Linked DNA regions of Caenorhabditis elegans. The protein of the gene in region 4 interacts with the protein of the main gene of each other region in a biochemical or structural test. Each region holds a gene or a part of one and is shown on either strand. Other genes may lie near its edges. The genes, in order: flp-17, flp-23, flp-7 and dmsr-7.

Region 1 (5,083 bases), on a different chromosome or scaffold from region 4:
TTCGGAACTTTGCAAAAAAGGGGCGGGGCTTATTTTTAACAATATAATATTGAGCTTAACTGAAAGATTTTGAAAAAAAAAACATTTTTTTATTAAAAAATTTTCTGTTTCACAAGATTCGATTTAAGTAAGGTACGTATGCACACAGAAAGACGGCTGGATAGGCAGGAGTTTTTTTTTTCGGATATATATTTAAAAAAAACAATTTTTAAGTAATAGATATTTTCACAAAAGGCACATTTCTAGGAACATTAAATAAACAGCTTATAAAATTAAAATATTGCTAGAAGTTCATTTGAATGTGTTTTGGACAAATCATTACTCAAAGTAAAACAGTAAAATATTTACTGTAAGCAAAATCGCATCGTTCTCAGCAAAGATTGCATCATACACTTAAAGTAGTCTCTGTGTATCTGGTGACACGGAGGAAAAAATTTTTTTGAAAAGTGATTCATTTTTATAAAATATCGAAATGTTTTCAAACAGAATTTCAACTCTCAATAATTTTCCGTTTCGGAGAAGGTGCACGAAAATATTTTTGTTTCATATAATCAATTTTCATTTTTAGAAGGTTTTTTTCTTAACCATCATTCATTGAATTTCTCGATTTTTTTTCGGAACCTGCAAGGATGTAGAAAAATGATTCTTACAAAGTTCTAAAAATTTGAACATACTTTTGAAAATTTTACTGTTTCCCATTATCTATTTAGGTTTGTAACTTATACAGAATTCAATGTTATAGATCCATCAATTTCAAATAAAACGGAACAAATCGTTTAAATAAATAAAATCACTGTTTCAGGTGGTTTATTTTAAAATATGTTTTACTTACATTAGGAAACACTTGTTACAACGAGTGATTTTTATATTGGCAAATTATTATTGTTTCAGTATAACCAGCCATATTTGTAGCATTCGTTGAAACAGGAAAAAAAATTCAAAAATAAAACCGGCAAAATGTCTCTTAATCCATCATTCATTCATTCAATTCTGCATTTTCCGAAATTTTTCGGAGATTTCCGAAAAAGGGGCGGAGCTTACATTTTTTCATGAAAATTTACTTTTAAATTTATTGAAGAGCATTAAAAAAACAGCTTGTATGTTTAGTAGTTTTTTCTCTGATTGATTTTAAAAGTTTTTATTTTAATTTTTAAATAAAACAAATAGGCAGCGTTTCATTGGAAATATGAAAACGTTAATATTCCAAGCGTTTTATATTAGAAATTCTAGAAGAGAACTGTCTTGGCCAAAAAAAAGTATCAAAACAGTTTACAGTTTCGAAAAATTTGGAATAAGTTTCAAGTAACAGAACATTTTTAAAATATTCGGTTTCAACAAAAAATTTTATTTGTTTTTTTTTGTTTCAAAAGTGTCAAATAATCTCTCGTTCATTATGCAAACTGGAAAACGAAATATGCCTTAAAATTGTGAAAAAAAAGTTATATACTGAAAGCATATAAATTAAGTATCCATCAGGTTCTAAAAACTGCTTAATTTTTTCCAAAATGCGTTTTTTATTGAAAAAGACAATGTTATTATTTTTCGAATAGTTATTAAATGTTTTTTGTTAATCGGAATTTTTAATACGTACTTCACAAAATATTCCAAATAATTACAGTACGTTAGCTTTGAATATATGTTCGAAAACCGTCTTCTAATCCATCATTCATTCAAATTTTGAGAAATAATTTTCCGAAATATCACGGAGTTTGCGAAAAATGGAGCGGGCTTGAACTTTTTTAAAGTATTTACAAAAATTATTATTTATTGCTTCCTTGGGGGTATTTGCAAAATAAATTATTTTTCGGGATTTTTCATAATGCCTACCGCTATGTTGCTTACCTGCTTTATGACATTCCACTACTAACACTCCCGCCTGCCTGATAGCTACTCATATATCTACCTACCTGCCTACCTGGTGCCTCTATGCCTAACTATTGCCTTTCTTCATTTCGACGGTAACTCGGAGTTTTGATATTTGCTCAGTGTAGCTACCAACACCTTTTTAAAGATTTAAATCAAAAAATATAGAAATTATTTTTCGGCAGTAGGCATGTGGTAGGCAAGCACATTCGTGACAAGTTGATTCACCAAAAACATCATCAGACCAAATCTGGGCGGAGCTTGAGCATTCCACCTTTACGTCCGTGTTCTCGGCACGTTTTCAACGAGGCGTGCTCAGCTCCGGATACCGTATCCGATTTCTCAGAAGCCTCTAAGTTTCCCGTGCTTTCTTGTCAAATTGATTAGGAAATGATTCGGATTTTCTGAATTTTTGAAAGATTTTTCGGTTTTTTCAGTGATTTCAATCGGAAATTCGGAGCCGGAAATGCATTAGGAAGGGGCTAATAGCTATAAATTGACACGGGAAATTCAGATTTTTCATTCATTTTTCACACATTTTCTGTTACTTTTTCTCAATGATTTTTTTGTGTTTCCATTTTTTTTCCTTTAAAAAAATTCTGTGTGGAAATATTTTCCGCAAAACTTTATTTTTCCAGATGCTCTCCAAACTAGTGCTCACCACTTGTTTGTTGCTCACAATTTCGGGATCCTCCCAGGCCGCTTCAATGGAGGAAATTCAGTCGGAAAAGTTTTGCGAGAAGTTCCCAACACTCCACATGTGCCGACTGAAAGAAGAGCTGACAGGCAGTTTGGTCGAGTTACAGTATCTTTTGCAAGATGGTGAGTCGGCTGGAATATTTTTTTTAGTTGGACGTTGTTCGATAGTTCCTCTAGTTTGAGAGATTTAATGGAAAATGTGAAATTTCTTGAAAAAAATAGTTGTGAAAAGTATAGATTTTTTAGGATTAGAGCACAATATTAAAATTGTAAATCATGAGTGATAGAAATTCGACTTTTTTTCTTTTTTATTGGTAGTTTTATAGAAAAACGTTACTAATGAATTCAAACTCTCAAGTCGTTATTTCTCGTTTTCGTAAAACGGAAAAAAACATTAATTTTAACGTTTAATTTTAATTTATCACGTTCTCTTGAAGAATCTTAATTTTATTTTACCGTTTCAAGCCTTTCATAAAGATGGTAATGTTTCCTCATTCTAATGATGACTCTGTAACGTCGCATTTCAGAGAATATAGAAATATTTCAATTTTTAGTCCGTGAAAACAACCATGATAATAATAAAACGAATTTTTTTTTAAGTTCGTGACTACTTCGGTCACATTTGAAAATTTTTCGTAGCAGCAAAAAAATGTCTCGTTGTTTAAAATTATTAATATTATCCCACCGCAGATTTTTTTAGGTTTAGAGCATTTTTTTAGAGCTCAGAGCATTTTTAGAGCATTTATGTAGGTCGGGTCTGTCATCCAAATAAAATAAGAAAACGATGAAAAAAAGCTATGAAAAAGTCAAATTTCAACCTAATTTTTCTGAACCTTTTTTCATTTTCTATTTTGAAATTCTACTTTTTTTCGCATATAAATTTGGTAATTGAAAAGAATTGACTGTGAGACCCCTAAAAATGAAAAATGTTACAAAACATTTGAAACAGTGAACTTTTTTTTTGAAATTTTTTACAGCATCATTCCCGGAGCTATTCTACTAAAGAATCTTTTATAAAAAAACTTTTTAACTTTCAGGAATCAACAATCAACAGCAAGCCGGAGCTCAAGAGGTACAAAAGAGAAAGAGCGCCTTTGTCAGATTCGGAAAGAGATCTGCTCCAGAGGAAGAGGCTATGGTATGTTAAAAATCCCATTTTGTAAGCCTCCAACTTTTTTTTTCAGGAAATGGAAAAGCGTAAATCAGCGTTTGTCAGATTTGGAAGATCATTCGGAATGGAGCCACAGATTACTGAAAAAAGAAAGAGCCAGTACATTCGCTTTGGAAAATAATTTTTTTTTTTTGATTTTCAAATTCCCACCATTTATTCCTTTTTCAACCAACATTTTGAGCAACTCCTACTCTCTTGGGTACCAATATTTCTCTAAATTTACAAAAATTCACAACCCCCTGTTAAAATTCCCAGTTCGTGAATTTTCCTTCTAGTTTTTTTTCCGAGAAATCTTCCTCCGTGGGCTAATAATTTTTTTCTTTTTGGTGTGGACAACTTTTATTAATTGACTGAATGTGTTTGTCAATCGGTGTGGCGATGACACCCCAAACCTCCACAATCCTGTTTCTTGATCAGCTTGAAATTGAGATTTGAATAAAACTGACTATTTTGTTAGACTGGTGACTGCTGGAAAATGTTGTTTCAACTTTTTGATGAATTCTTATAAAAATAGCAGCTGAAAATTGATTGTGAAATTGTGTGTTTCAGAGTGTAGTTGAACGTTTGCAGCATCCTTCATCGGCCGGGTTTCAGCATAAGTGGCCGCACCCCTTAGGAGACGGACCCTGTCCAAATTTAAAATCGCGTGATCCTTGAAAATTTCGGTTACTATGTAGTTTTCAGGCATTCAGGAAGATAGTGGAGATCCAATTGACATTGAAAACTTCATGCAGAAGTAAAAACTTACTGTTTCACTTTGTTTTTATAATTTCATATACTTTTCTTTATAGTTTCTTTGTAGTTTTCTTAGAAAATAAATACGAATACTTTAATAGTCTCAATTTTTCCGAGAACAAAAAAAAACATTTATTATCATCTTTGAGACAGAACAATTGAAAGAACTAAAACCAGAGAAGAAATGTGGGTAATTTGATACAAATTGAATATTTTTAGTACTCAAAAAATACGACCAATACACAGAAACAGAAAATAAATAAATCAGGGAAAATGATTAATTAAACTTATAGGAAAGCGATTCCGAAGCCGGATGCTCAATTGTGTAGCGAACTGGGAGAAGACGATGTTGGCCGGGTGCCAAAATGACACACCATTCAAGATTATGGTCTTTGTTAAGACGAGCATCTGGTGGAGATGAGTTCTTGGAGGAAGACGAGCTTTTGATCTCCGGAGACACGATAGAAACCTGGAACTGAGAAAATTGTCTGCAAGGTCAAGGGGTGAACTCTCGGTCACTTGCTCACCAACCTAGCACACTACCACTGCGCCAATAACCCGCTTTTTTGTACTAACTACATTTCTAACTAATTGCAAGAAAAATGTTACCTAGTT
Region 2 (4,874 bases), on a different chromosome or scaffold from region 4:
AATGAAAATTAATTTTATGGAGCTAATTTTTGAAAAAGAAGCAGGAACTAATGTTTTAATTGTTCGTAGTTTGACTTGATGTGTGGTGAATAGTGTTTTAGTGTTTCACTGATCCTTCAAAGTAGATGTTGCACCATGGTCGAGGGCGCTTTTCAACCGCTTTGCTCTGTGGACCACAGTTATTTGAACTTTTCTAATTATTTTTTTTTGTTTTTTAGTTTAAATCAAAATAGTGTCACTATTTTACTTTTTTTTATATGAACAAAACACTGGGAGTCGGGGTTCCAAATTTTATGAATTCATATCACATCACAGCGATTTTTGTATTTTCAAAAAAAAACAAAATTTCAGATCATTCTCCGGAGGTGGACAGTAAATGTTCTCAAATCAATAAAATTTAATTCGATTTGTGATCCCAACCATCAATATGCATAAATATTTCCCAGATCATTCGAAGAAATCATTCGAAAATGCGTCTTCTTATTCTCGCCCTCGCCTCTTTTTCCGTTCTTGTGAGCTCTTTCATCGTAAGTTCTTCTTTTGACTAAAACTGTGTGAAAACCGTGGAAATACGTGTTTATCAGAGTTAGTGACGAAATTTTACCTTTTAATGGTATGATGCCTCGTAAATTTAATCAAACCTCTGTAGAAAACTCGTGTCATGTCAAGCGATTCGAAATCGATTTCTGAATGTGAAACGGAAACCCGTGTCACTTTGATGTCCAAACGCAGGAATAATTCCTTTGAAATTCAGATTCGTACTCATGATCTGCAAAATGCACCAAAAGCAAGAAGATTCCTGAAAAGTTTTGATCAACCTGAAGTAGTTGATCTTACTAAGGATCCCACTACGTTCCAGGAGTTTACCAAATTCTATGTCCAACTTCTAATCGACGTAATCCAAAAAAAAGACACCAGAAGCCTTCATGGCACACAATAATTACCTGGATCTTGAAATGTTGTTCAATGAATGTAATGCTCAACATTACGAAAATTTAGGTTGGTTTCTGTAATAATATTTCAAAGTCTTTTTTAATAAAATTTTCAGGAATGTTCTTCAAATGGCTTCAACAATTTGCTGCTCATCACGAAGATCCAAAGATCACAATTAAAGATTTCAAGGGAGATAAAACATCAGGAGAAATGATTCTTCATGTTAATACCTTCACTTTATTCAAGTACAGACAAGAATTTGACATGAAAGTTAGCGCTTTGAATGTGGGTTATTGAATCAATATTTTGAAGACAAAACTAATTTTTCAGGACAATGGACTTGGGTGGAAGATTTTGTTTGTTGACCGCAGTCTTGGGTGTAATTGATTCATTTTTTGAAACCGAATAAACTAATTTGTTAAATTATTAAATTAGGCAATGGGACAGTCTGGAAGTTGCTAGAATCTACCGATATTTATTAGATATTTATTACTTACTTGCTACTATGTTTCACAAAACAATATCAGAGAAAAAAAATCAAAACTGAGAAAAAACGAAACAACTTACCGAACAATAGTTAGCATTGCTTTGTACAAAAAAAACTGTGAGGCTATTGGAGCACTCCTCTGATTGATCCGGTCGTGAGTATTGATTTTGTTTGTCAATTTGTCTAGGACGCAATTGATTCATCGTTTGAAAAAAAAGCTCGTTCATTCAAAATCATTGATTATTTATTCCATGCAGAAAACTGTTTTATAATTCTCGATAAAAATGTTATATTTTAAACTGTAAATATTTATTTTTCCACATGATATGGTCTAACCGTGGGCGTAATATTTTCGGTTTAGAACGGCTGAATCGAATCTTTTGGACTGCAAAGACGGATTGGATTTTGAAACAAACTACGGTGTTTTTGTGACAGTATTAGTCAACGAATGGTAATTAGGCATATGTTTTTGGAACAACTCATAATTTCTTGTTGGAAAACAAAAGTGGCAAAGTATAATTATTTAAAACTCTGACAAATCTTTTGTCTTTTTTCTCTGGTACTCCTGTTTTTAACAGTGTCCTTATTATGCTCCTATTACTCTTGTGTTGTGCACGTTCTTTTGAAATCTATATTGCAGAGCGGGAATGAATTTAAATAAGAATAATTCAACTTGGTCATTCAAACAATAAAACGCCTACCATTAATATATCCAAAATAAGTTCTTTATTTTTGCAAGGTATTCAAATATATCAATAACTCGAGCCTGAAGAAATCCACCGCTAGAACATAAAATTAACGATAAATATTAAGGCAAAATGTTTGGGCCGAACCGGGAATCGAACCCGGGACCTCTCGCACCCGAAGCGAGAATCATACCTCTAGACCATCCGGCCACTGCCCGGCTGGAGAAAAATGGGGGACTTTGAGCGTTACAACATTCTCGAGGCCCTCTCGAGTCGAGGGGGACCGAGACGGAGAGTGCTAGGAAAACCAAGCATATTTGGTTTTTGAGTATATAGTCGTACGATTGAGAGGAAGCAAAGATAGATTTATAGCTTTTAATTTATTTTTTCTAGGATTTTACGTAACATTAATTTCAATACTGATTTCGAGATTTGTCTTTTGATAGATTTACAACATGGTTATCATCCGGTATACTATTGTATAAAAGATGGTCCTAAATTCTATGAGATTATTTTATATTCTCTCTCAACGAGATGCTTCTTCCAAAAATTTCAATTCTTCTATATATTCTCGTCGTTCTTCAAGAAACAGCGGCTGTCCGCGGTGCTCTTTTTCGCTCCGGAAGAGCTGTTCCGTTTGAGCGTGTCGTTGGACAACAGGTGAATTTTTTATTTCATTTTGAGTGAGCCATTGTAACATTGGATCATAAGAGTCACGTGGAAAGTAGAACAATCTCAACCCACAAGTTAAAGCCTAATATTATTCCAATGCCTCTAGTAAGATTTTTATAAAAATAGAAACCTCGCCATATTAGCCAGACACGAGATTTTTACGATTTCTTCGTCAAATATACGGTACCCAATCTCGACACGTCAATTTTTCAATAAATGCAAAAAGATGTGCGCCTTCAATGAGTACTGTAACTTCAAACTTTTGTTGCTGCCGAATCGACTTAGTTTTGTGAAAATATATGTATTCATGTTTTAAACAACTCAGAATTAACCCAAAAATTTTAACAAAAACTTTTTTTTAAGCTATGAAAAATCAATTTGAATTCGGCAGCAACAAATGTTTTAAATTACAGTATTTTTTAAAAGCTTACGCCATTTTGCATTCATTGAACATTTGTCGTGTCGAGGCCGGGTATATTTTTGACAGAAAAAAAACAAAATTTCAGGTTCGTTGTTTTTTGTTGTCAAAATTATAATGTGTTTTAATATCATATCAAAAAATTAGTCATTTGATTTTCGATAGATCAAGCTTCAGTAGAGGTTTCTAATCATTCGGAAATATACACAAAATCTTGAATTTACACTTCCGATCAGTTGGAGAATATCATTGATCTATCAATAATGTTAGATTTTGTAGTTGATATTTTCACAAAACTCTCAAAACTTTTTAACATAAAAAGTTGGCATGGTGCGTCTTATAATTTTTGAATAACTTATTAAATTTCTAAAATTAATATAGAGATTGGCTCCCACATGTCGAGAAGTTGAATTATTTGTTCCTTGTCTATTCACTTCTAACCGTGATTGTGTTATCGACAAAATATGTGTTCATGAGAAACCACTTCCCCTTTCATCGATTTCTGTGTCAAGCCCGAGTCCAAATACAAAACGGGAAGGTCATCCCGAGTTCATGAGCCAAATTGCGCCGCCTAGAAGAAATGTGAGAGTTGAGCACAGCATTCAACAATTTCTAATCAGCTTTCAGGACTTTTTGCGATTCGGAAGAGCCGGAATGGCTTCTGGAGTTGGTGGAGGATCGGAAGGAGGACCTGATGATGTGAAGAATTCGTATATTCGGGTCAATGGGGAGCCAGAGATTGTTTATCAATAAAATAATATGGATTCGATGCGTCCGATTATTTTTTTTTACTTGATATTACATTCTCGAAACTATTGTAATGTGTGGGGAATCGTTATAAATAAAATATCTTCTTGTTAAACAATTATTCCATGAAATATGAAGTTATAAAGATATAATCCAGATACGAAACTTTGAGATTTTCGTCCGAAAAGTACGGTAGTGGGTCTCGACACGACAAATGTTAGTTGTGCGCCTTTGAAGATTACTATCATTTAATTTTTTGATTAAATCGTTTTATTCTAAATGCTTAGTATTTACACAAATATATTTCAATCGGAATTTTCAAAGTATTTTCCTAGAGGAAACTACTTTGAAAATTCAAAAATTCAGCAACAACGAGAGTTTGTAATTACGGTAATCTTCAAAGGCGCACACCTACTCGTATTTAACAAAAATTTGTCGTGTCAAGACCGGGTTCCGCTCTTTTTTGCAGTAGTACAGAGAATATTCCGAAAGAAGTTTGAAATTAAATTAATTTATTATACCGACAAATCATCAAATGTGATGTATTTCAATGAGTACAATTTTTCGAAAGAAAAACAGATTGAGGATAAAACTTGAGTGATGAGATAACCGTAATATGGAGAATTATATCAGTGTCAAGAAGGCACATTGTTCAGTTTCATATTTACAGATGTTTGGGATTAAATGAAGATTCGGTATGCATCGACGATCAGAACAATGAACGAGTGAGTTGAAAGACCTGGAATGTTTAAAATTAATTTTTAAATTAAAATTCAATTTTCTGCCAACCTTTTGTTGAATGATATCAGTTCTTGGAGAAGACCATCTTTCAATTGCTTCAAATTCACGACGTCTTTTCACCAGTTGTAAGAAGGCGGTCAACGACCCGTCAACGTTTGCGTAGTGTGTGCGGCAGGAGAAGAGACTGCAA
Region 3 (4,400 bases), on a different chromosome or scaffold from region 4:
AATATTTTGATTTCTCACTATAAAAACTAAAAATAAAATCTAAAAGCTTGACATTTTGATGGCGAACTATGAAAATATGAAAATCAAATCTCCAACATCTCAAAACAATTTTTCAACTGTCAAGTGTTCATCTTCATTCTTTTCTTTTTTATTTTTTTTCTGATTTTTGTTGCTCATTTTTCTTTAACCCGCTTTTCCAGGAGTTCTCCAAAAAACCCTCGCTGTTAGCTATAAATCAATTTATTTTGGGAGTACATGTTGCCACGAAAAATAAAACAAAGTAATTTTCTAAGAAATCGGAATAAATTTTTTACCCTTATTAAAAACTACTACGTCGATTAATGTTAAACAAATTTAATCATACATGTTTCTAGCGAAAAAAAAACCTTGAATACGGTCAAAGAACAGCGAATTCTGATAAGGCATATTTTCTATGTTTATTTATTAGTGTTGCTTGAATAAATTCATGATCATTTATAGTGATGCGAGAGCTGAAAGTTTCTTGGAGCGAAACAAAAAGCAAAATTGGAGCCTATATAACCATGTGATCAAAGTGTCAAAATGATTTAACAATTGTAGTTTCATAAACTAGAAATTACGTGTGGAAACTGACAAAAACTTTCAACTTTTCAACTTTTCCGCCTTCAATTTTTCTAGAATTCTTAATTTCATTGCAGCAGCGACTTAATTTCCGTTTTGACGTAGACTTAAGATTATATCGGTAACATTAGTTGTAAGTTTTCTTCGTCATTTTACAAAGACTTACAACTCGCCGTATAAATTTTCAATTTTTTCGGAATTGTTGGCCCACGTGTTTTCATTTATTGTGAACAAAGTTAATAGCTTGGTTGTGTCTGGAAAAGTTACTTAAAGTAGTTCAAAAACTTAGAGTTCTATGAAATAGCAGCTTCTCTTCTGGCATCTCTCACATCTTTTGCTCGAGTTACGATAATTGAGGAAACGTTTGAAATTAAATGCACAGGTGATTCTATAAAATACTTATGGAATGTTTTTGAAAGGGTTTTGCAAAAATACTCAAACGCATCTACAATAAGTGTACATACGTAATATGACATATCACCCAGATTCACAAAACCACATGTTTTATAGATATGGTACTTGGTTTCAACAATTTTTAACATACTTTGAAAAAGAGCAAAAAGTATGTTTTACATTATTTATTGAAAACTCGTGTCAAGACCTGTTATTGTACTTAAGTTTTTTATCTGAAACTATTTTAAACTCTACATTTCACAATCAATGATCAAAAGAAAAACTGACCGAAATTTCTTTTTTTTTATTTTAAACTAGTTTTTGAACAAAATTGAACTTAAAAAACTTCAGTATCCACAATTGAAAAAAAACGTCATTTTTTGATTTTCTTAATCTTGAAGCTGTATTGTAATGTACTTAAAATTATTTTTGTTATGCGACTCTTATAATATTTTACATAAAAAGGACTAGATAAATATGTGTTTGTGCATCACAACCCCCGTTTAAAAATAAATTGAACTTTCATTCATTTATTCATTTCAATTAAACATAATATATTTTATAATTTTTTTTCAGGCTCCAAAATGACTTTTTTATAGGTTGAAGAGCCTGATAATAGTTTTAATAATACCTAAATTTATAAATTGAAATTTCAACGTACATCAGTACGGATAACTTTGTGTCTAAGTAATACATACAAAATTTTTGGAAACTTATTTGTTGAATTAATTTTTATTTTTGCCTTCTTCTAACACTTCCTCCTAAATTCTCAACTGACCGCTCAAAAGGTTTCAAACATCTTTCTCTTTGCTCTTCTGGAGAGTGCTTGCTAGTATCCTAAAATACCCGACACAATCAAACAGAGATGGACCGCGTGAATAATGAAGTGTCCCAAGATCCGTATAATTCACTTTGATTGCTCTGTGAACTTGGATTTTTTTAATCGGGCTAATGCGTCTTTAGCAAAAATAGCCAACCATCTCAATGGATTCCAACCTAATTTTGATTTTTTTTTTTTTTGGTGTTATTTTTTCTCCTTGTTCCGATTTCCAGTTTTTGTTTGGACGAAGGCGGAGTCATAGCATCAGACAAGGTTAGAAGGCATGAGAAGAAGGGGGTGGAGCATGAGCCTTTCTCGAGCTCAGGAATATGAAAGCGTATATAAGTATGGATAGCAGCTTCTATTGCGTTTCTGATTGTGATTATTTTGCCCCGTCATCAGTTTTCTTTTCAGTAAATTGTCAAATACAAATTTTTTGATTACTGTTGCTTGGTCTTGTGCAATCCACTCAATCTTGAATCCAATTTGCAGTTCAAGTTACAAATTGAATTTCCCTCTGCCAACACTCAAAGAAGGGTTCTTTTTTTTGACTTTTCAACTTTTCTCCTCATTTTTTCTCGATTGAAATTTCAATTTTTAAACCACTCCGCGTCATGTTTGGAAACATGACGTCATCGAAAAATACCATCTCGTTTTCATTCAAAGACTTTTAGAAATGCTTGGATCCCGCTTCCTTCTTCTTGCTCTTGGTCTCCTAGTTTTGGTATTGGCCGAGGAATCAGCCGAACAACAAGTTCAAGAACCAACTGAGTGAGTTGAGATTTATTGATATTATGTTGTTCTTGTTGTCGTGATTTGTTGAGTGAATAAATTTATTTTATTATTCTGAATGAACTCCTATTTTTTCTATTTTTTATATTTTTCAGACTCGAGAAGTCAGGAGAGCAACTCTCAGAGGAGGACTTGTGAGTTGTTATTATTCAGAAAAAACTTTATTCTCACACTATGCACTTTTAGAATTGACGAGCAAAAGCGTACTCCAATGCAACGCTCATCAATGGTTCGGTTCGGACGGTCACCAATGCAACGCTCATCCATGGTTAGATTCGGAAAGCGTTCGCCAATGCAAAGGTCCTCAATGGTTCGCTTTGGAAAACGGTCGCCAATGCAACGATCTTCAATGGTGCGTTTTGGAAAACGTTCACCGATGGAGCGTTCGGCTATGGTTCGCTTTGGAAGATCACCTATGGACCGATCGAAAATGGTCCGATTTGGTAGATCATCAATTGATCGCGCTTCTATGGTTCGGTACGTATTGACGTGAAAAGTATTTTGTGAATAAAGCTGAAGTTCAGACTCGGAAAACGGACACCAATGCAGAGATCATCGATGGTCCGTTTTGGCAAACGTTCGATGGAATTTGAGATGCAATCAAACGAGAAGAACATCGAGGACAGCGAATAAACAAGTACATGCAAACACCTTGATTACCAAGAACAAAACGGTCTCACATTGTAGTTTAATCTCGTTCTACGGCCTATTCTTACCTTTTTCATTTATGTATTTTTTTTTGACAATTATTTTTGTGCCACTTGACTAATAGTACAGATTGGTCGCTACCCAAATACTCCAGTGTATCAAAATTAATTTGCGATTTGCAAAATAAAGAACCGACGCCTGTTTTCCAGTCCTTCATCTTAAATTCATGCAATGCAAAGGATGAGAGGATTTCAAAAAAATAAAACTATAAAAAACAGGAAAATTGTTCAGAATGGCTAATACGGTGAGTCTGGTAAGTTGATTAAAAACAATGTACATTTTTTGCTTTTTGGACTAGTTTCGCGCCATAAAGCATTGTGTCCCGAGCCTGGTTTCATGTCCACTCATTCGCTGCAGTATTCAAATATGATCAAACCTGCCCAGCTACAGAAAAGCCTGATCTCGCGCCTTTCCCTATAACGTTAAAAGTTGTTAACTTTATTTCAAAGTGCATCGACTCTCCTAGGAGAGCGTCGTATGAGTTAAGTTGAACTTTTCAGAAAATAATCCAAAATGATTATTAACATTGTAAAGGCTTCTCAATCCCTACGGCAATAAATCATACAGAGCTTTTTGGTCATGGTCACCCGCTCGTTTTCCTGAAAATCAGAAATATACGTATTTGGATAATAGAGGTTTATTGAGAAAGCCTAAATCTAATAAATTTCAAACCGACAATGGTAAATTTTTCGATATAATTTTCTGGAATGGGTTAATTTTTTTTGCAGTTGTTTATATTATGTCAGATAACTTTTTATTAGTAATAGTCAGAACAGACGGGAAGTTGTAATAATATCAAAATGATCGGAAACCTCAAACGGAACAAAACTAGAAGGAGTATTATCTAAAGTTATATTGGGATAGAGGATGCCTCAGATTAAAAAAAAAATTTTGGCAAATAATCAGATATTGGAAATTTTGAGAAATTTTGAACAATTCTCCTTGTTTTAGCCATACAATTTTTCACATAAATTTTTTTTTGCTGTTTATTTTATTTTGCTGTTTATTTTAACCACACAAACTATGTTCAACAGATTATCATCCAGTACGAGCTGAGGGGGAATGAAAAAAATAAGTTTTATGGTTC
Region 4 (6,186 bases):
TGCCAAGGTTAAACTTTTAAGTTTAATTTTCAAAATATAGTTAAGTTTGAACACTCCTGAAATTCCAGCAATCGTCAGTTTCGGCGATTTCGGAATATGAAGAATTCTAGTGACACATTTGAACAAATGTTTTTGAACACTAGAGAAATTATTGGCAGGGCTTGTCCAATTTGCTTACCTGCCTGCCCAATATAAGTTTCTTGGCATTTCACTGTAAAAGCGGTGTTTCATTGGGTTCAGGGTAGGCATAGGTCGCCTTGAAGGCAGGCATTTTACCTTTTTAATGTAAAATTTTTCGGAGAAACTTTCTCTTGATCTTTATAGCATGAGTGTGCTTTTGAAATTTTTTGAAATTTTTGCAATTTCAATTTCTTTCAATTTCCCGAAAAATCCAAGCTAAATCTAAAAGTTTGAAAAACAAGCAATCTGTGAAAAACACATCTGGAACTTTATTCAATAATCTTTCTTTTTCTTCACCCCAATTGTTTTTTGTTTCGTTCTAGGCCTGTTTGTATCTTTGTATGATAGCAAAAGTCAGAGCCACTGTAACTAAATAATGTGCTCAAACTGAAAAAAAACGGAGGCATTCCAAGCAGCCGCCTGAATCATTCTATCCGGGAGTCTGCACAGCCATCTGAAAGATTAGTCTAGAATTGAGCATTAGGAAACTTGTGGAGGAGCCAGAAGGAACCAAGAAAGGCTCCTCTTCATTGCCCAAAGTTTTGTTGTGATTTGTGCATCCCAATTCTCTCCTCTCACTATTCCTACCCCTCCTTCTAGTCCTTCTTTTTTTTTCCTCCTTTTTGCTCGTCACTTTGAAAATAATGCAGTCTCGTCACTGCTTTTCAAGCACTAGAAGCTGCTTGAACTGCAAATTGAATTTGAGGAGAAGCTTCGCCATTTTGTTTCGAGTAAAAAAGACAATGAACACGTTACGTGCGCAATCCACCATTGGTAGCGCCTCTCCTTCCTCCAGTTTTTGCCCCTTTTCAGCTTTTTTCCTGCATTTTTCTCATTTCTCCCCCAATTAGGCTCTCTGCATTTTAAGGTGTTAGAGAATTAGCTAGGTCACTCTTTTGATTTCTTGAAACAAAGATGAAATGTTCAGTGGTCAATAGTCAATAGGCACATCACTTCAATTCCCAAGGGACTTGAGCTTTCTTTCTTCCCCTTTTGACTGCGCCTGCGCCCCTAAACTTTTTTTTTCCACGTTTTCCTTATTCATAAGTCGTGAGAATATTCGATTTTCCGATTCATCTTCTCTGGAAGATGAATTCATTAACTTTGAATGCCACATTTCTGTCTCGAAATCCATTCTGTTTCAAATGTTTCGGTGTGTGTGAAGCAGCACCACACAACAAACATTTTCACAAGATGGCCCCCTGATTTTATATGTTTTATGGTGGCATGAAATACCAAAGTTTAAAACTTTTATACTTAACTAATAAGTTTCTGTTCTAGGTAGGACTAACATGGTAGGCAGGCGCATAAAATTTGAAAGCAATAAATTTGAATTTCGATTAATTTGATGAAAAGCAGGTGGACCTAACTTTGAAGTCCGGCAGGTAGGCAGTCGTTTGGCGCCTACCTAGAAGCCCTAGATCTAGGTTACATGTTCACAAGAAACAGAAAGTTGAGCGAAAGATTAAACATTCACGAACGAGTGTGCTTCACAATTATAATCATCGCAATTATAAAACTGCTGAAAAATATGCTTACTATGTTTTAAAAGACTAGTCTTGCCAAGATAAGTTGGCAGGCATGCCTACATGCCTACCAATTATTTTGTGCATTTTCAAGATCTGCTGAAATCGAAAAAAATTATTTTAAAATGTTTTAAACCCAAATAATAAATATTTTGATAAATATGGCTCTCTTTTACGGTTTCGAGTGTCATTTTTTTTTAAACATGCAAAATTTACAAAAGAATTTACGCGTTTTTTGCAATTTTTCGCTCACTTTGTTTTCGAAAACAAACAAATCTACCGCCCTGGCCGGCAAAAAAATAGGTTTTTTGGTTTTTTTTACTCTAGGAAATAGTTTTTAAAAAATAAAAATCTTCAATCAAAGATTTTTACAATTTTTCAAAGTATTTTCCTGCTATAGAAATAACAACTCACGGAACAAAAATAACTTCCGGCCAGTGACCTATAATTTTGTAAATTTTTTGAAAAACGAAATTATATATTTTGTTCGAAAACTCGATCAGCTTCTTCCACAACAACCGACTGTCATCTAAAAGTTCAAAAAACACAGAACGCATTCCACCCTGTTGCTCTTGGCTTCTTCTGATTTTCTCCTTATGTTTCTTTGTTTCAATGGTCTTTAAAAACCCCTTAAATTTTCAACATTTTGAAGGATGTGCTAGATATGGAATGTCCGCACGATGCTCAGTTGTTTGATCCGAACAGTAACAGTACGCAGGCATTTCTTCGGAAACTTGCACATTTTCAAAGGTTTGTTAAACTATTTTTTGTGCACTTCTTTCAAAAAAAGAAAAATGAACCAATGATTAATTGTCAGATGGTACCAGCCAATTCACGGATATGTATGTGTGCTCATCTGCGTTTTTGGTATCTTCACCAATTTTGTGCATGTGGCAGTTTTATCGAGACCCAACATGCGCAATTCGGCCGTCAACTGCATACTGACAGCAGTGGCTGTCTGTGATATCGGAACAATGGCATCCTATCTCATTTATATTATACATTTTGTCTTACGACGAAATAATTCCTGGTAATTCTTGTGTGTTTATTGGGTGGAAATGTTTTTGTTTTGGGAAATGGAGCGGCGTGGCGGCTTTTGAGTAGGAACATCAACAAATATGGAATTTTTGGAAAAATAACACAAGCTTTAAAATATTTATTTTCTGGTTTTTCCTATTCCAATTTTATGGTGAATTGCAAAACCCGGAAAATGTCGGTCACTTCATAAAAAGGATGTAGAGTTCGAAGGCGCTGATTGGTTTAAAAATAGTCATGGCTTCTCATTTTGGAAAAATTCAAATATGAAAATTCGCAATTTCAAAAATTGGACATTTTTAAATCTTTCTCGATTTTTTAAGTTTCCTTTTTTTTTGATTATGCAGCATATATTTGAATATTTCGAATACTTTGAAACAAAATCCTTATTTTCCAAACTCTACCTCAAACCATTAATAACAAGAATTCAAACTAAGTGTGCTCTTTCTATTGAAAATTTTGAAGGATATTTATATTCTTCTATTTTTCCACTCAAGTATCAACACACACACACAAAAAAACATCCTCAAAGTAATAATGGAATTTCAAAAGTTGAATGCCCATGTTCGTCACTTGCTGCACTTAATTGAAGAGGCATAGAATTTTAGTTGAACCTGGAACTATTTATTTCCTCCTATCCGTTTTATGTGCATCAAAACATGAAAACAACTGCATATTTTATTGATCATAGGAAATTTTGAAAATCGTCACAAAGCTACAAACTACGTGTATTCATAAATAACAAAAGTGAATTCAAGATGAAAAGTCGCTCGTAAAATGATACTGAAAAACACGAAAACAAGCGTTTGCAATGAAACTCAATAATTTTTATTATTAGATTTTATTACAGCACTCCAACGTTCACTCATTCTTGGTTACAATTCCTATTGTGGCATGTTGTTTTGAGCATCACACTACACACAACTTCTTTATGGCTCGCTGTGGCGATGGCGTTCATTCGGAGGATGACATTAAGGGTTACCGCTTTGAATAGGTATGCTGGGAGCAAAGTTTAAGGGACTAACATTTTTTTATACACTAAGATGAACAAGTTTTGTAATGAAAGTTTTCAAAATTTTTTTCAAACAATGGTAGGTATCCAAAAATATTTAAAATTGAAATTTTACAAAGACATTGCAAGCAATATACCCAGAAACGTTGGCCCCCTTAAAAAATCTGGAAATTTTCAGTCAATGGCAACGACCAAAGTTCGCATGGAAGTTGTGCCTGGGAATCTATATGGTCGTATTTGTACTTTGTATTCCAAATATGCTGGTCCACGAAATCGCCCGTGTAGAAGGAAATGACTGGCGACCTGGCAAAACGTGTCAAAAATTTGCATCGAACTACTCTGAACCGGTGTACACTTTTATGGTCAGCCACGCGGCGACTATCAACAATTGCCGGTTGTTTAAATGGAATATTTGGATGATTGGAATTCTGTTCAAGGTTAGCGAGTACGCGAGTTATCAAATTAAACGTCCTACCAGTTTTCAGATCATTCCATGTATTCTGCTAATTTTCTTGTCTTTCGGCCTTGTATCAAAGATTAGAGACGCAGAAAAGCATCGGAGGAAACTAACGAGTGTTCCGTCAAATGCATCAACAGATTCAAAACCATTGAAAAAGTATAGTCAACTCTCAAAGAACTTTTATGACAAAATGGAAATTTTCAGAAAGAATGGAACATCAGATAGAACCACATTGATGCTTGTTGTTATTTTATTGGTATTTTTAATAACGGAGTTTCCACAAGGAATCATCTCGATTCTTTGCGCAATTTTTACTACAGACGTTCATAGGTAAGATTTGATGTTTAACTAGAAATTTGGCCTGGAAAAACTGAAATCGAACTGCCCCAAGCTTGACCCAATTTTTCTTGAGTCATTTGAATTTTTGGAAATTTGGGTGCAGGCTGAGTCTTGCAAAAGTGTTGCTAAATTTTTGTTGGCCCAATTAAAGCTAAAATTGGGCGCTAAAGAAGTTTTCGAAAAATTAAATTTTCCATTTCAGATACCTCTATTTCTACATTGGTGATGTTCTTGATCTCCTATCGCTTGTCAATTCCTCTGTAAATTTTGTTTTATATTGTGTGATGTCTTCAAGATACCGGCAGACGTTTTGGGAAGTTATCATTCCTTCGTGGGCTTGTGGGTAAGTTCATTCTTATTGAACCAGTTCCTGTTACAGTAGTCTAAAATAAAATTTTTCCTCTCAGATTGTGGACGACCCGTCGTGGTTCTCCGACGGAACTTTCACAGCTTCAGTTGAACAACAGCTTACGACTAGGAAGGTCAGTTAATTTGTTTTTGAAGTCTGGAAAATATTATCTTTAATTTGCAGAAAACAAAGCTATACGCCACTGGCAACTGAACCGGAACCAGCACGCAATGAGTATTGGCGGTATGAAGCTTCCGTGTCGGACAATCAGAACAGCAGTAGAGAACATCAACTTTAAATTCCAATTTTTTCGATCTCGGTACAAATTCCCTTTGCAGATTTTTTGTGATATCTTGCTCATTTTCATAGCTTTCGCATTTTCTATTCTATTCTTGTTACGGGTACTTTTTGTTTTTTATTAATTCAGTTTTTATATAAATCAATATGGTTTACAAAATTATTAAATTATTCACGGCGCCGTGAAAAAAAAATTGTTTACAAAAAGACACGTAGATGTGAGTAAAACTAGGAAAAAAAATTATTTTCAATTGAAAGTGATTTCCGAAAGGTGAGTTCTCTTTTTCTCTTCCAGGAATCAAAAGTTAAAAAGGTTTGATGTTTTAGATTATGAAAGACGACGTCGTTGACAACATAATAATTGATGTCCTGAGCGCTAGTACTCACGAAAAGCTACTTTCCGAAGTGATCACGGAAGGACGAGTTCTAAAGCTTCTCGATTTGGCACTGGATGTATTTAAAAGACAGAAATCAATGGTTGAAATGAATGCTCCGATAAAGGTGTGCGGTGACATCCATGGACAATTCCCGGATCTTCTTCGTCTCTTCCATCGTGGTGGATGGCCGCCGACTGCGAATTATTTATTCCTTGGTGACTATGTGGACCGTGGAAGATTTAGCATTGAAACCATTGTTCTTCTTCTCGCTTATAAGGTTTGTTGCTTTAAGTTTTGCAAAAAGAAGCTAGGATCAAAAATTGTGACGCGCCAGAATTAATCATTGACACAAAGAATGCCAAAACAGGGGATTTTTGCAGAGACCGCTTAGATTTTCCAAAATAAGCGTACACATGTGATAAATAAATGTGTTTTCAAAAAGAAACATATTTATTGTCCATCACATATTGCTCTGCAAAAAAGTGCGCATCTCTCAAGTATCAAAGTGACAGAAAGTTGATGCTGCTCCGATGAGCTGTCAAATTTGAAAAATGACGTCAACTGGAGTGATGGATCTTTTGGACGTTTATTTCTCTCTCCCGATCTTCCAA

Evidence for each region.
Region 1: the proteins of dmsr-7 (region 4) and flp-17 interact in a test that uses a peptide from one of them, tested with the Caenorhabditis elegans proteins (one large-scale study listed by BioGRID).
Region 2: the proteins of dmsr-7 (region 4) and flp-23 interact in a test that uses a peptide from one of them, tested with the Caenorhabditis elegans proteins (one large-scale study listed by BioGRID).
Region 3: the proteins of dmsr-7 (region 4) and flp-7 interact in a test that uses a peptide from one of them, tested with the Caenorhabditis elegans proteins (one large-scale study listed by BioGRID).

Annotation. Positions count from the first base shown.
Region 1 is NC_003282.8:17,189,310-17,194,392, reverse strand, and holds flp-17 (FMRF-Like Peptide), read left to right. Parts: upstream 1-2,501; coding exon 2,502-2,685; intron 2,686-2,880; exon of another isoform or gene 2,881-2,901; intron 2,902-3,062; exon of another isoform or gene 3,063-3,086; intron 3,087-3,443; exon of another isoform or gene 3,444-3,464; intron 3,465-3,599; coding exon 3,600-3,700; intron 3,701-3,746; coding exon 3,747-3,854; 3' UTR 3,855-4,189; downstream 4,190-5,083. Other genes in the region: C52D10.3 (DUF4140 domain-containing protein), read right to left, coding at 4,746-4,937.
Region 2 is NC_003281.10:8,648,137-8,653,010, forward strand, and holds flp-23 (VVGQQDFLRF-amide), read left to right. Parts: upstream 1-2,630; 5' UTR 2,631-2,640; coding exon 2,641-2,766; intron 2,767-3,577; coding exon 3,578-3,778; intron 3,779-3,823; coding exon 3,824-3,949; 3' UTR 3,950-4,058; downstream 4,059-4,874. Other genes in the region: F22B7.3 (uncharacterized protein), read left to right, coding at 927-999, 1,049-1,218, 1,264-1,320; F22B7.9 (uncharacterized protein), read right to left, coding at 4,653-4,682, 4,733-4,868. UniProt on the Caenorhabditis elegans protein: FMRFamides and FMRFamide-like peptides are neuropeptides.
Region 3 is NC_003284.9:5,883,378-5,887,777, forward strand, and holds flp-7 (TPMQRSSMVRF-amide 2), read left to right. Parts: upstream 1-2,487; 5' UTR 2,488-2,489; coding exon 2,490-2,584; intron 2,585-2,700; coding exon 2,701-2,739; intron 2,740-2,791; coding exon 2,792-3,082; intron 3,083-3,129; coding exon 3,130-3,238; 3' UTR 3,239-3,456; downstream 3,457-4,400. UniProt on the Caenorhabditis elegans protein: FMRFamide-like neuropeptides. Stimulates serotonin-induced fat loss by binding to and activating the npr-22 receptor which leads to induction of the atgl-1 lipase and subsequent fat loss.
Region 4 is NC_003283.11:5,403,000-5,409,185, forward strand, and holds dmsr-7 (G-protein coupled receptors family 1 profile domain-containing protein), read left to right. Parts: upstream 1-2,353; 5' UTR 2,354-2,370; coding exon 2,371-2,456; intron 2,457-2,523; coding exon 2,524-2,736; intron 2,737-3,591; coding exon 3,592-3,735; intron 3,736-3,931; coding exon 3,932-4,190; intron 4,191-4,238; coding exon 4,239-4,369; intron 4,370-4,417; coding exon 4,418-4,543; intron 4,544-4,754; coding exon 4,755-4,895; intron 4,896-4,959; coding exon 4,960-5,034; intron 5,035-5,084; coding exon 5,085-5,199; 3' UTR 5,200-5,387; downstream 5,388-6,186. Other genes in the region: C25A6.1 (Serine/threonine-protein phosphatase), read left to right, coding at 5,529-5,852.